Lepisosteus oculatus: one gene and its partner. The main gene of each other region encodes a partner of the protein of the gene in region 2 in a complex. Links are inferred from orthologs where the notes say so. Each region holds a gene or a part of one and is shown on either strand. Other genes may lie near its edges.

The links. Proteins that work in one complex are often made in the same cells at the same time.
Region 1: the proteins of aplnra (region 2) and apln are in contact, whole or in part, in a cryo-EM structure (PDB 8XZG), measured with the Homo sapiens proteins. The link is inferred for Lepisosteus oculatus from reciprocal best matches to the Homo sapiens genes APLNR and APLN. Residues at the interface, in NP_005152.1 of Homo sapiens: Tyr35, Phe78, Trp85, Tyr88, Thr89, Tyr93, Ser106, Ile109, Phe110, Met113, Pro163, Val164, Arg168, Gln180, Cys181, Tyr182, Met183, Tyr185, Glu194, Glu198, Leu201, Gly202, Ser205, Tyr264, Lys268, Tyr271, Ser275, Cys281, Asp284, Leu285; in NP_059109.3 of Homo sapiens: Arg66, Pro67, Arg68, Leu69, Ser70, His71, Lys72, Gly73, Pro74, Met75, Pro76, Phe77.

Annotation. Positions count from the first base shown.
Region 1 is NC_090703.1:50,476,089-50,483,861, reverse strand, and holds the start of apln (apelin), read left to right. Parts: upstream 1-4,773; 5' UTR 4,774-5,149; coding exon 5,150-5,216; intron 5,217-7,773. UniProt on the Homo sapiens protein: Peptide hormone that functions as endogenous ligand for the G-protein-coupled apelin receptor (APLNR/APJ), that plays a role in cadiovascular homeostasis. Functions as a balanced agonist activating both G(i) protein pathway and beta-arrestin pathway of APLNR.
Region 2 is NC_090717.1:13,926,370-13,933,361, forward strand, and holds aplnra (apelin receptor A), read left to right. Parts: upstream 1-4,357; 5' UTR 4,358-4,492; coding exon 4,493-5,554; 3' UTR 5,555-6,491; downstream 6,492-6,992. UniProt on the Homo sapiens protein: G protein-coupled receptor for peptide hormones apelin (APLN) and apelin receptor early endogenous ligand (APELA/ELA), that plays a role in the regulation of normal cardiovascular function and fluid homeostasis.

The sequences.
Region 1 (7,773 bases), on a different chromosome or scaffold from region 2:
TGCTGGTCTCTGATTCCTGAAATTTGTCAAATGAAGCAAGAGAAGAAAATACCCAGAGGGCTGCACTAATTTCAGCCCTGCTGCAAAAGGCCCTCTCTTTAAATTCCAGTGCCTTCAAGCACACCCAGAGAAATGCACGACAGACAATACAAGAGGTTTAAGTCCAGATATTACCTGTTTGACGTAGGCATCTTTCAAGGTGTTCTGAAGCAGATGCACATCAGGCTTTATTTAATCATTAAGGGAAAGGTTGTTTAAAACACAAACAGTATTAATTGCATATTAAAAATTAATGGCCGATTGCTTCCTTTTGTTTTAAGGTGCTTGACTCACAGGGTAAAATTGCAAACAGATGTGTTGCAGGAAACAAACATACTTACTGTATCACTCCAAATATAAGAAGAAAAACAGAGGAAGTTTAGCAAAGTATGAAGCAAAAGCCCGCTAATGTCTTCCCATTATCACACGTGAATTTCTTGGGGGAAAACAACACTTTGTTTTCCAGATCTAAATTTTGACTTCAGCTGTCCAGCAAAGGACAAGTTTCAAACTATTAATAAAGCCCCAATTCAGGAAGAGTTCACTTCACAGAGACAATAAAAACTCTTTAAGTGGCCACCGGCGAGAGGATGGTTTGCGTCGTCAAGCTCACAAAACGGATATCTTGCTGGAATTCTTTTATCGGCCCTTTTCCTGTAAACTTCAAGAGCTTCCTGCAGGGGGGCAGCTGTCGAGGAAATGCAGCGTGTGCCCGCTGATCATGTCCGGCGTGGGGCGGCCGGGCAGCTCTTCCATCCCTCAGAACGGGTCGCCCTGCGCTTCCGAAAGGAACGCACTTATCCAGCTGTACCAGAAAAATAAGCAAACCAAAGAAACCCAGTCGAGGCCGCGGAAGAGAGAAGAAAAAGCAAAAGCACAGAAATCAGAACCAGAGGTCACATGGCTATTCGACCCACTGGACTGCCAGGGCATTAAGTTAAATTACAGCTCACAACTGGCAACCCACTGAAGCCCAGCAGGTGTGAGCCTGGTCAGTACCTGGATGGGAGACCTTCTGGGAAAAACTAAGGTTGCTGCTGGAAGAGGTGTCAGTGGGGCCACTAGGGGGCGCTCGCCCTGCGGTGCATGTGGGTCCTAATGCCCCAGTATAGTGACGGAGACACAATACTGTAAACAGGCGCCGTCCTTTAGATGAGACGTAAAACCGAGGTCCTGACTCTCTGTGGTCATTAAAAATCCCAGGGTGTTTCTCAAAAAGAGTAGGGGTGTAACCCCGGCGTCCTGGCCAAATTTCCCATTGGCCCTTACCAATCATGGCCTCCTAATAATCCCCCTCTATGAATTGGCTCCATCACTCTGCTCTCCTCCCCACTGATAGCTGATGTGTGATGAGTGTTCTGGCGCACTATGGCTGCCGTCGCATCATCCAGATGGATGCTGCACATTGGTGGTGGTGGAGGGGATCCCCATGACCTGTAAAGCACTTTGAGTGGAGTGTCGAGAAAAGCGCTATATAAGTGTAAGCAATTATTATTATTATTATTATTATTATTACTATTACTATAATAAGTTTAACAACACAGTCTAGCAGCTTGGTCTCACCTCTCTTTGTGCAATAAAGAAACACATCGGCAAACTCTCCGCCAACTACCTGTCAAGGGTAGGGCACATCCTCATGCTCCACATGGTACTGGTGCCCTGCCAATGCCACGATGTTGGCTGGGTCTCTGGGCACTCCCTGCAAAGCCACGCAGACCCTGCTGTCTCGTCAATCCCCGTCTCCCAGGGCCTCCTTCACAGGGCACAGGCGTGAGGCTCTGAAGGTGGGAGCCCCTACAAGATGGGCGAGCCGGAGCTCACAGTCCGGAACCGTGAGACGCCCCACTGCAGCCCTTGCTCTGGGCCCATGTGCATGCACGCGTGGTCTCCTTACAGAGGGACACCGCCAAGGGCTTGTGGTGGAGCAGTCTCCAGCGGTATCACAGACTCCCGCCATGCACACACTTTGCCAGGGGAGACAATCCTGGAAACACACTCAGCTAGGTCACTGTTATCACTAACACGTCTCCATCCCTTTCACCCTTCTCACATTTAGCACTTGTCTGTCCACACCCTACTGGTGTACAGCCCTTCTCCTACGGAGGCCATGTGAGTTTAAACAGAAACCTCATGGTCTGTGCAGCTGTGTCACTTTGTAGGGGGGGCGGCCATCTTTACAGCACGACTTCTAAAGCCACTGAAGGGGAAGTCAGGTCCTCAGGGGTCAGAAATGACTTGTTGCTTCAGCACCATTGCATCGCACACACTGTCATTGTTAGTGACACTGAAATGTGCTTAATTTGATTACCTCCCCTTGCAATACGTAAGTGTTTTAACTTTATTACTCAACACTCTCACAATTATTGCCTGGGTATCGTGATGGTTCCTGACTCAATCATTATAAAATTCAACAACAAATGTCGATAAGCTAACTGGATAATGCAGATAGGTGGCTTAACAGTCATTCATTTCAGACGAGTCTCGGCACTAAGGAGGAAACCTGTTCAAGCGACACGATGAAGCGCAATGCAGTCAAGGAGACCCACACGGAGACTGAAAGGCTTGGGTGCATTTTGAAAAACAAACTGACTAAAAAGCAAAGACAAGGTAAAGGATTGCTTGACAGAATCTTCAAAAAGGGTTGGCTTCTCCCAGCGCAGAGCAATGAATCATCTTCCCTAGAAAACACCGCAGAGAGTGACATTCAGCGCATCTCTTTAACGCTGCTTGGCACATCTCCTGGCAAAATAAAAGAGCCATGTAGATAAGAATCAGTAGACAGCATCTCAGTGACCCCTGAGGCTAATTGATTAGGCACTGAAGTGGGCGAAAAAGGTTGTAAGGTACTCCTGTTCTTCATTTTCAAGTGGGTGCCAGGTCCATGTATATGTTAGCCTCCAGACACGTCACAATGCCCTCTCTGACAGGTGGAAACAAGGGCAGCACAACCCAGCCACCCTTTAGCTAGCATGTGAGCCCGGCGAGCAGGAGCTGGACTATCTGGGGTTGTGGCCAGGCACAGTGCAGTCATCCGGTTTTACTTCTTGCATTCAGAAGCCGGGCCACCGGGGAGATCCCTCAGACTGCAGAGGGTGCAGGGGTCCTTGCGTCTTGCCTTCCCGATCACGAAGAAGCACCTTCTTTCTTGTCTCACAGCGCAAAACGCAGACCAATTCGCAGTGGCCGAGCCTGCAGTCGTAGCGAGCACAGGCAATTCTCCCGACTAGATCGTCTCCTCCCGTGGTTTGTCCACACCTTGCACACGCATGTGAGATCCGACACACTGCTGCTTCCTCTCCTAAACCGGAGTGAACTCAAACCAACACGCATGAAGTACACCAGCATTGTTTTCTCTGCATTCCTGTTGAACGCAGTCAGAACACGTTGCTTCTCATCTGAACTGTTAACCCTTTTATTCGCTTGAGGAGTTCAAATATTCACGCAGGCCTATTGATTAACTCACAGTAAAAGGAGACAAGGGATTTTACAGCATTTACAGTCGCTCTGTAATGCTTTGCACGTGTACTTGTTGAAGTTCACTGACACAAGAAGTTGAACTTTATTATTAGTACCAGCATAGCACAGCAGTTGAAATGCTGTTTCTTTTCTTTTCATTAAGCAATGGGGTAGTTTTTCATGCTGTCTGGCACTGATATATTTCTTAGGCTCAAAGTCTATATATGTTTCAGAGTGTCCTGAGACACAGCACAGCAAAATGTACCCAAACTCAATTTACATTATTACAACTGTGCAGACAGTACCTTCACCAGGCTGTTGCTTCTAGTGTTTTTATTCAATTGAGGCACATTTATAGTTCAATGACCTGTGACTATTGTAATCTGTGTGATTTATATACAAATGATTGCACTGCTAGGCTGGCTCATGTAAACCTCCAACATCGGTCGCAGAGTAAAGGTGATGTGGACTTGCTGTTCTTGATGTTGTTGTTCAAAACAGTTTTCCCTTTTTCTCCAATGGATGCTGAAAAGATCTATTTTTCTGAATAAATAGTCGTGTATTTTCAAATTCGATTAAAAAAATTCAGTCAAGGAAAATATTTCAAAACCAAATTCTGGAGGAGAAAAAGAAACGGGTTAAACTTGTGCACAGGAGTAGATTATTCTGCTCTGCAAAGCTACATTTCTGAAAGATTGTAAAATTTTGAAGATACAAATCTAATTTTAGTCCAGAAAAAAAACTTTGAATATCATGCCTTTACTATTTAAGTTTTCAATCCAGGGGAATTTGTGCAGAGTTCTGAAGTTTGTCAGCTGTTTCCCTACAGTTGGCTCTGTGGCAGGAGGGTTAATAACTTTCAAGTATTTATTTCATACAATTTGTCAAAGGAAACAAGGCTGGGGGGCAGGAGGGAGAACTGGGATAGAGACTTGTTCTGTGCAGATGGGAAAGAGACAAAAGGAAAATAACTTTTTCTCTCCCTCTCTGCTCCCTCGCTCCCGCTTCACCTTAATTTTTGGATTCCTAGTTCCCAAAAAGAACTGGAAATGTCTTTTTAACAAGACCCTGTTTTGTTATTATAATAACCCCGAACACCACTCACTCACTCACGATCTCTCCCCCTCTCTCTCCCTCTCCCCCTGTCTCTGTGTCCTCTGTGGGAGGGTCGATTAGGTGGGGGGGTAACAGGGAGGCCCCTTTTCCGTGACCCAGAGAGTCAATGATACATAAGCCACATGACCGACTGGGCTTCTTATTCAAGGCAAACAGCTCACATACAAAAACCTGCTGCAGGCTGCTGCTCCACACATTCACAGCTCTGCTGAACTTGGCACCAGCAGCCTTTCTCTAACAGAAACACACCTCCTCAGGAGAGCTCAGACTGAGACGTGCCTTCAGTCTCGGCGTGGCGCTGTCAGGCTTGCACACAGATATATAAATACATTACAAATACATATATAGATAGAGGTCTGGACGAGTGTTCACACACACACACACTCATACATATTCGCACACACAGTCTCCCCTCAGGAGAGAACACTCCCTCTCCCTCTCTCTCTCTCTCACACACACACACGCGCACACACGCACACGCGCGCACGCTGCACTATATCAGCTACTGACTAACGGAGTGCCAGAGGGAAGTGCAGAAATGAATGTGAAGATCCTGACACTGGTGATTGTGCTGTTGGTGTCTCTGCTGTGCTCTGCCAGTGCCGGTAAGTCAGGGAGCTCTGGATGTTGCGTTCAGGCTCTCTAGAATTCTTTCTCTCCTCCTGACAGCACAGGCTCAGCCAGGCATCTGTAGTTAATCCACTACATAACCGGTTAGTCCTCAGTGTTTCGAACCCTGAGAGTATTAGCACCTGGTCAAGGGCTGTACTGCAGTGCAGTGGTTCTCTAGTTTCTGTTGTTGTGGCTTGTTTGTTTTATTTGATCAACTTGAATGGGCATCGATTGCTTTGTTATTATAACTTGCTTATCTCACAGATAAAATGCTTCTGTTCAGACTGAGAGGTTTAATCTCTGCATGGGGCTGCTCCTCTGTTGGCAATATACTGACATTAATAGAACAAAATTGCTCTGAGTACCTCCAAGCTTGTCAGAGAACATGTAGGTATTATTTATGTGTATTTATATATAATGAGCATGTTATATACATTTATGTGTGTGTATATTGACATTTTATAAAATCACACCCTAGTATTCAATTGCCACTCTGGTGCCAAAGAAGTCTTTCTGGGTGGACATGTTTTTATTTGCATATGAGCAGAAGACTGAATGTTTTCCATTATGAGTAGAAGCTGACTTTTAAACCATGGTGAATGAAATTTGACGGCTTTGTCACACAGAGAAGCACAGTATGGTGTCACTGCAGATCAGATGGACCACGATCGCGGTTAAGGTTGACTCATGTAATACACACATGCACTCACACACAAAGGTGCGAATGTAAATCATAAAATTGCATTCAGTGAGAGTCATGCACCAGGCTGGGGGCACTTTCTTGATTTGCAAAAGCTGTTGCACTGACATGCAGGAGTGCATTTTAGGAAATCAGATGGTTTGGAAGGATACAGTTTGCTGAAGCAAGATCCAGGCTGTGAGAGCAAAGCACAGTAACAGTTTAGTGTAAAAATGAGCAAGGGAGATACGGTAAATTCCTAGATTATTGCCAGTAATGACACCCTTGTACTAATGGGCAGTGAGTGGTATGTGTGGGTACACATGCATTTTAGGCATCGCTTCAAGAAATATTTATCCATGCTTGCACGCATGCATTATACCCACACAATACCATTTCTATTTTTACATGACTCAATGGGAAATGACCAGCCTACATTAAGGTGTCATTTTACATGCCCTAGGGTGGCACCATTAGGCACAGAACACTACAGGATGTTAGACAGAGGCGGGAGAAGTGCAGTTTAGTGCAAAGCAGGAATATGTTGCTTGTTGCAGGTTGAGCTTCCGTTCCTCTGTGCCAGTGCATGCCACTTGCAATGTTAACTCCATTGAAAGAATACTGAGCGTCACTGAAGCTTACATCTGTCTGTGCTAAACATGCATCTGATGTCTGCTGTCGAGGGAAGGTGTTAAGAGAGGCTCGGCGTGTAGGCAGTGGGTGTGAAGTCTTTCATCTTTAGATCAATGCTCTGAGTTCATTCCTAGTTTGCTAGAAATTTCAAGCTATTTCAGTCATTTGTGTGAGCGGCTTCATGATTTTTATGGTTTTAGTCCTCTTGCTACTGAAGACACTGAGCCACTAATGCAACAGGCTGTAGCAGTCGGGCTCAGTGTACCCTGCGACAGGAGAGGGTGCTGAAGGGATCTGTGCAGAATAACTCAGTAGTGCCAGAAAAGAATGAAGCACTCGTGCCTTTGTGCTTCTTCCTGATTCTTCTGGCCTTTAAGCAATGGGCTCTGTGTGTGAAGGTCTGTTTAAATTACCTGTGCTTGGTAACTGAGCAGACAGTCTCCAAGGTGTGCTGTATGGGCTTGTGCCTCATTGATCCCCTATCGATCAGCTACATCTGAGGCTGGACTGAAATGCCAGTGGGAATAGTAGCATCCAGCCTGCCCCTGACTGATACTGTACCTAGGGCACCTCTGCTTCCTCTCTTCTGTCACTTTGCACTGAAACAGCATAAATCCCTCAACACGCAATGAGCAGAAAGGATCAGAACAGAGAAACAGAAAAGCCTGAAAGGTCTAATTTTAGCTGTCTGGGTGACTTTCTATGTGCAGCCCCCATTAAACAGGTGAGTTATCTAAAGCGAAGATTACTCACCTGTTTAATGGCTAGACCCTGGCTAGAGTTCATGAAAGCTTGTGCGTGTAAAAGGGCCAATTTCATGCAAGCTGTCAACGTTGCTTTTATTTTGTATTAAACTTTGATGTATTGTTGCGTAGGCTCTCACACCAGCATGGATGTTTCAGACACACTGCCATACGTTCTGGGTCAAGAAGAGCCACAGGCAGGCCGGCACAATAAATACGGGCCCCGTTAAGGAAGCTGCAGGCAGGCAATGTTTCTTTTCAAAGATCACTGGGATATTTTGTTAATCCACATCAATGGACCTTTCTTAGAAGTACACAGAAGCTATTAAGTCATGATTCCAGCACGTTGAGTGCACTTGCTTAACGGGAAGAAAGTCTGTGGGTCTACAATCAAGATCATAGGGGTCATAAAAAGAAAAATCAGGCCTCTCTTGTAATATATTGTAATAACAGGATGATAGACAAAAGCCGTGCAGAAGGCCTGTGCAGCTATTA
Region 2 (6,992 bases):
CAGGGCTCGAGACTGGGCCCCCCTACTCTTCAGCATTTACATGTTCCGACTCGGTCAGCTATTAAGATCACATGGTCTGAATGATCAGTTCTATGCTGATGATACTCGAATCTATGTCCATACTTAAACTGACATTGAAGTGGCTGTCCCTGCTCTGTCTAAATGCATCTCTGACATAAAAACCTGGATGACTCAAAACTTCTTTAACTTAAACTGTGACAAGACTGAAGTCATGCTGCTCTGCACCTATCATCAATTATGTAAAGCTAATGCAGTAACATTGTCTGTGGATGGTACTGTATATGAATTTCAATCTAAACTGAAGAATGTGGAGGTGATATTTGATCCAGGGCTTGATTTTTGACCCATATGTGCAAAATATTGTAAAAACATTTTTCTTCCATCACAGATATATCACCAAGCTACATCCTATGTTGCCTTTGACTGTTACTGAAAAGCTAATCAGCACATACAGTATGGTTCTTTCTGAATGAATTACTGCAACACCCTTCTCACTGGGGTATCTAAAGCTACACTGAGAAAACTTCAGTATGTCCAGAATTCGGCAGTCAAATTTCTCAGCACCTGTTTGACTTATCTTCCTGCTCCCAACATTGCAACCTTCATTCGTTGGACTCGTCTGACGTCTGACAGGGCCTCTTGCTAAACGCCAGAGCTCTAAAATTCTGCCCCCAATGATATCAAAGAGTCAGAGTCCGAGCGCTTTCAAATCCTGAGCCAAAACCTTCTTCTTCAGAAGGGCTTTTTTCTAATTGGCTCTGTGTCTGCCCCATGCATCTAATTCTGCATTTTAAATCCTTGTTTTTGATTGTGCTAATTTTTTTCCCACTTTTCCTTGTTAACTTTTATTCTGGCTGTAAAAGGGCTTTAAAGATGCTCTATAAAATAAATTATTAATATGATCTACCTAAATGTCCCCTTTATTTCCCTTTCTAAAGTACTTTTTGATACTTCAATGAATCTGTTGTGTAGTGGAGCTGCTGTACATCACCCAGTTAGGGTGCTGCTCTTCAGTAGTAGAGGTAGTGACTCACTGCTACAGTATTTTAGTAAACACATTATTCACAAATTGATAATGAAAAATTCCCTTGTTTACGTTCTTAATCCCTTTCATTACCATGGATGTCTGTCTTGACTGTTCTCACTCTTCCATTTCCAAGTTTCGTTTAGAAGGTAATTTTCAACAAAACGATGAGAAAATTCCATAAAAACGGAGGCTGTTGCTGACAAACGGAGACGAGCTTTCTGTAGCTCCCTCTTGTGGTGCCGGTGAGACCTGCAGAAGCAGAACAGGGTTTAGCGATGAGGGTTTTGAACCACAGACTCTGCAAATCGCTTCTCAAAGTGAGACATTGGAAGAGCCGTTGCAGAATATTGTTGCTCCTGAACTCCTTTGTTTTATATGCCTTAAATGTGTAGGACACTAAAACGTGACAAACCAAGTTTGGCAAACGGCAAAACATAAATACGATGCAGGCAAAGTTAATAAAAAGGGCAAACTGATACTTACCCAACTTGCCGATTATAGCTATAGCTTGTTTTAACGTTTTATCTTTTATAGAATACATATTTTCTAATGTGGGCATTAAGCTGCAAAACGCTCGAAGGTGGGAGACGCTCATGAAATTACTTCACACTGCTCGCCGGGACAGCAAAGATTTCCTGAAGAAATCAGCTCAGAGCTCAGCGCGTTATGTAAGAACACCGCTCTCAGGCTGACGCCTGAAGACAGTCATGAAAATAAGACACTATTCTCTTGAAATGGGCCCAATTAAATACAGTAGTAGTAAAACGTGTCGTGTTTTTTACGTGATGTTAAAAACGATCAAATACGCGACTCGAGAGAATGTATATCAAATCCTCCTCTACAGCTTAAGGAGAGCAGCTACATGCACGCCCGTGTCTCACTAAGAACCGTTACTTGATATATTTACACACTTGCAAAAAATCGAAGTAGTTTCAGAATCCGCTGGTGTATTTTATGTTCTGCAATCTTGTACTTCATATAGTGTGTCGTTTGTACCGGGATATAATGAAAAGTGATTATCTAGGACGGTATACAGAGATGTCCCTCACTTAAAAGCACCCGACAACCTTCAGTTTCGAAGGTACTGTATTCTGCTCTGACCTTTTTCGTTGCATGTTAAACATAAACTGAAGCTCTAAAATGACAATAAGACAAGGTATTATTTTTCATTAAATCATAAGCACCATCAATCATTTTATGAATTGTTTTGTTTTTCATTACACCCACCTCCTGTCTCTATAGACATTTTGGTTTTGGCAGTCTGCTTCACAGAAAAGAAGAGGCAGGCCATGTAGCATTTTCAGTGCTGATATGAGGTCTCAAACTCAGAACATTCGGTGATCCTCAGTCATCATCAGTAGGACACGACAGTAAATAAACGAACTGGGCTCCCCTGTTGATTGGCGATTAAGATAATCAAAGGCAGTCAAACCGCTCTTCACCTGGGCGCTCTTTGTCTTTTGTTTAATTAATCTCGAGACTTGAAAATTAAATCAAGTCCGGACCAATCCCGTTATTTAAAGCAATTGAGTTGTCACAAAATATACCATGAATTATTTACATTTCTATTAATGGACGTTAACGTTCTTACTTATTATCTCTTACGTAGTCTTATGGGTGGACAGAATGTAGTGATATATAGAGTTCACATCCTTTTACAGAAAAGAAAACCTGTAGAAAATTGTGTAACACGCGCGGATTATGCCATTTATAGGTTTTATTTAGAAAGCTGGGGTGAGAATTCATCAATTTCCCTGCTTCCAATCCGTTATTAAGGTTCTCATTGAGAATTGGGGTGTTTCTATAGCAATACACAGGTAATCTACAGGTTATTTTCCTAAAGGTACTGAGAAAGTCCGTTTCTATCAATCCATTTTATATCAAAAGTAGATCGATGCTGAATTTCAGGGGTGAATGACAGTCGTCCCTTTTCATGTGGAAAGCGCTTTGAGATCAGTTGAGATGAAAAGCGCTATATACAGTACACGTAAATAATTATTATAGTAAATGTGATTTAATTAGAAGTGTTGTTACTGATTTCAGCTGTCGGCCTCCCATCTTGTTTTTTTTTCTAAAAGAAAACTTTAGAAGCGGAAAGTCATAAGTGCCCGTGTCTGCTTGTTTTTATAGATCTCCAGTTTAGTTCAATCTAACGCATTAAAACCCAACACTTCATATGCAAAGCAAAAGCAGGAAAGAACTTGAATACATGTGAGAAATTCAGAGACATATCTTAATTCTGTTTGTTCCCCATTTCTAACACCTGAAATACGATGCGCTTTTGGTATTTGAAGGTATGGGCACAAGCGGACAGCCGCGTGTCCTGTAGACTGACGACCAATGTTTTTCTCATTCGATATTAAATGCTTTTACTTTTTCATTTTAACGAATGCTTGCATAATTAAAATATTGCATCGATTCCCGACATCTGTTACGTGTGACAACGACACGGCAGTTCACACCTCCCGTCTCCGCGTTTGTCTTTCCAGTCAGGCTCCTCTTGCTCGCTCAAGGTGTCGCTCGTTTGTCGACTTGCTCTGGCAGGCTCTCGTTTCCAATAAAACTACAGTAATGCGGCTATTTAAAAAAAAAAGTTTGTTTTTCTCGAGAGATCGCTGGCTACCAGAAAGCCGCAGTCGTCTGCCTGTTTTTATTTCTTCTGCCAGCTGCGCAGAACTGTAATTAGACACGAATTGTTGAAATAAGGATCTTTTGCCACGGCTGAAAAAACAGGAAACTTCCAGTGTAGTGGGGGATAGCGCATCCCAGCAGACACCCTCTTAAACTTTCATACGCAGGAATGCCCTTTCTTTCTCGAATCCTGGTGCTCATATTTTCATTTGTTATTTGGTTATATGCTTGCTTGCTTTATTGCAGCAGACGGAAAGAAAAAAAGACAGTTAATAAAGCATCCGGGCATGATACATTTTTATATGAACTGATTCTGTCTGACATCAGCGCGCGTGTGCTCGAGTATTAAACGGGATAGCTAATGGGTCATATCTGAGGCTTTAATTGGCCTTTGAACAGCATCTCTTAAGTTGGTTTTTTTTCTGTTAAAATCTGTCGTGCTGAGGTTGCCCGTCTCTCGTTTTGCGCTTGTGCGATGACCGTCCACTTCTCGCACAGGGCGGAGACCACAAGCGGCCCCAACTGCGCGCCGGCTGGGTGGGAGAGATAATGTATCTTTCCCCCGCGACTGTGTGGCTGGGCGGGGGAGAGGGGAGAAGTGATTGATGGCACGATTAGGGGGCGTTTTAGACCTGTCCTGAGAGGGAAGGGGGGAGTGGAAGACACAGAGTTTAAATAGCAGCCCACAGCGCAAGGCAGACACATATTGACTGGAGTTTCCAGAGGTTGCGCTCTCTCACTCTCTCTCTGGAGCCGAGGGCATTTTTTTTCCTTACTTGAGCTGAGGCTGAAGGCGTGGATTTCTACCCAGAAATGGAAGAGGATTATGACTACTACGAGGACAACGAGACCATGTGTGATTACTCAGAGTGGGAGCCCTCCTTCTCCCTCATCCCAGTGCTGTACATGCTGATTTTCATCCTGGGGCTGTCCGGGAACGGAGTGGTGATCTTCACCGTGTGGAAGTCCAAATCCAAGCGCAGGGCGGCCGACATTTACATCGGCAACCTGGCGCTGGCAGACCTGACCTTTGTGATCACCCTGCCCCTGTGGGCAGTGTACACCGCCATGGGCTACGATTGGCTGTTCGGGGTGGCCCTGTGCAAGATCAGCAGCTACGTGGTGCTGGTGAACATGTACGCCAGCGTCTTCTGCCTCACCTGCCTGAGCTTTGACCGCTACCTGGCCATCGTGCACTCGCTGTCCAGCACCAACCTGCGGTCCCGGCCCACCATGATCACCTCGCTGGGCGTCATCTGGCTGCTGTCCGGGGTCCTGGCCGTGCCCACGCTGCTGTTCCGCACCACCCTGCAGGACGAGGCCAACAAGACCTCCTGCGGCATGGACTTCAGTCTGGTGACCCTGAACCGGGAGCATGAGTCCCTGTGGATCGCGGGCCTGAGCCTCTCCTCCTCCTTCCTGGGCTTCCTGCTGCCCTTCCTGCTCATGACCGTCTTCTACTGCTTCATCGGCAGCACCGTCACCCGTCACTTCAACAACCTCCGCAAGGAGGACCAGAAGAAGCAGCGGCTGCTCAAGATCATCACCACCCTGGTGGTGGTCTTTGCCCTCTGCTGGACCCCCTTCCACGTGCTGAAGAGCCTGGATGCCCTCATCTACCTGAAGGTGCTTCCCCAGACCTGCGCCCTGCTGAGCGTCCTGCTGCATGCTCACCCATACACCACCTGCCTGGCCTACGTCAACAGCTGCCTCAACCCCTTCCTCTACGCCTTCTTCGACCTGCGCTTCCGCTCGCAGTGCCTGTGCCTGCTCAACCTGAAGAAGGCCATGCACGGCCAGATGAGCTCGCTGTCGTCCACCCTCAGCGCGCAGACCCAGAAGTCCGAGGTCCAGTCGCTGGCCACCAAGGTGTAGGGAGCCCCGCTCGTGGGGCGACAGACTGTGTGCACGGAGCCGGCGCGCAGATTCCCGGACTGAGATCACCTTCCCCCCACTGTGGGAGAAAGGACTTTGAAAAACTGAAAACCCGGTCTGCTCGCTGGGCTGTAACACTTGGAAAACCCGATGTGTGGACTTGTTCTGTTATTGGGGTAACCCCACGCGCTTATACCTGGGCTACAAGGGGTTCCCCCAACAAACAACGCTGGGGCCAGCTGGCTGTGCCTCCAGCTGCTTGCGTTGTACAAATTTTTGAAAGAGGTAAATGTGTTTCAAAGACTTGTTTTTTTCTGGCTTGCCTTTTTTTAAAAAAAGAGTACATGCTGTAAATTGCTGTAAAGAATTCAACCAGGGCTGAATTCTGGACAGGAGGAGTGAGATGAGAGGGAGGTCATAAGTTGTTGGCAGTGAAGTTTCAGCCTGGTCACACTGGGAAAGAAAAAATGTCCCGAGTGTTTTCCATGTTTTTTTGTGCTCTGTTGCTGTCGTACTGTTTCCTTAGCACTTGTTTAAAAGAGGAAAGATTGTGCAACCCATTCTCCACTTTTGCTAATCTGTGCTAATGAGGGAAAGGGGCCAGAGGCTGGTGAGTGTGATTAGAAGGAAGGTGTTGCAGTTGAATTAACATGTCGGACGACAGAGGTGGTCGGGCAGGCAGATGGCTGTTGCCAAATGTTTTTCCGGGAGGGGGAGCAGAGGTCTAGGAGGTGATGGCTATGAATTGACTTGAATGCACTGTTGTAACATGACTTTGGAGCTGGGGTGACTTATCATCTGTAAGTGGCTTTTGCTGTGAATGTCTCAGAAATTAAGGATTTGTATTATGGATTGTATGTTTTTGCCTGTAACTAACTACTGTATCTGGATGCTTTTTAGCATTTCCTATTTGTAAATAAAAAGTGTTTTTAAAATATTCCTCTTAACTTTCTTCAATCCCCGCTGGTCGTGTGAATGTTGTGTTGCTGTGTCTCTTCCCACACTTGCTCATTTGTGCAGTTGTTTCAGTTCTTGAAGACGAGAGGAACCGAGCGGCCTGCTGCTTTAAAAAAAGCACAGGGAAAATAATGACTGCAGTTCTTTTGGGATATTGAGCTTTTCCAGGAAATTCTTTTTCTTGGCTGAGTTAAAGCAAGGGTGTCTCAGCAAGCCCGCCAGGCACGTTAAAAATGCACTATAAAGGAATTAGAAAAAGAAGCAGAGTCTGGTCTCTAACTTTTAAACATCTGCCTGCAGCAATGTGGTCAAGCAGATGTCAATAATTCCCCAGACATTATGTGTTTTTTGCCAGAATATGAAGAAAGTGACAGGTGGGCTTGAATCTTAAGGTAGAATAGTTGACTTAATACTGGAAAAATGGGGCAGAGTTCACACTACTGTTAGAGTGGAAAGTTATAGGACCCTTTTAATAGATATT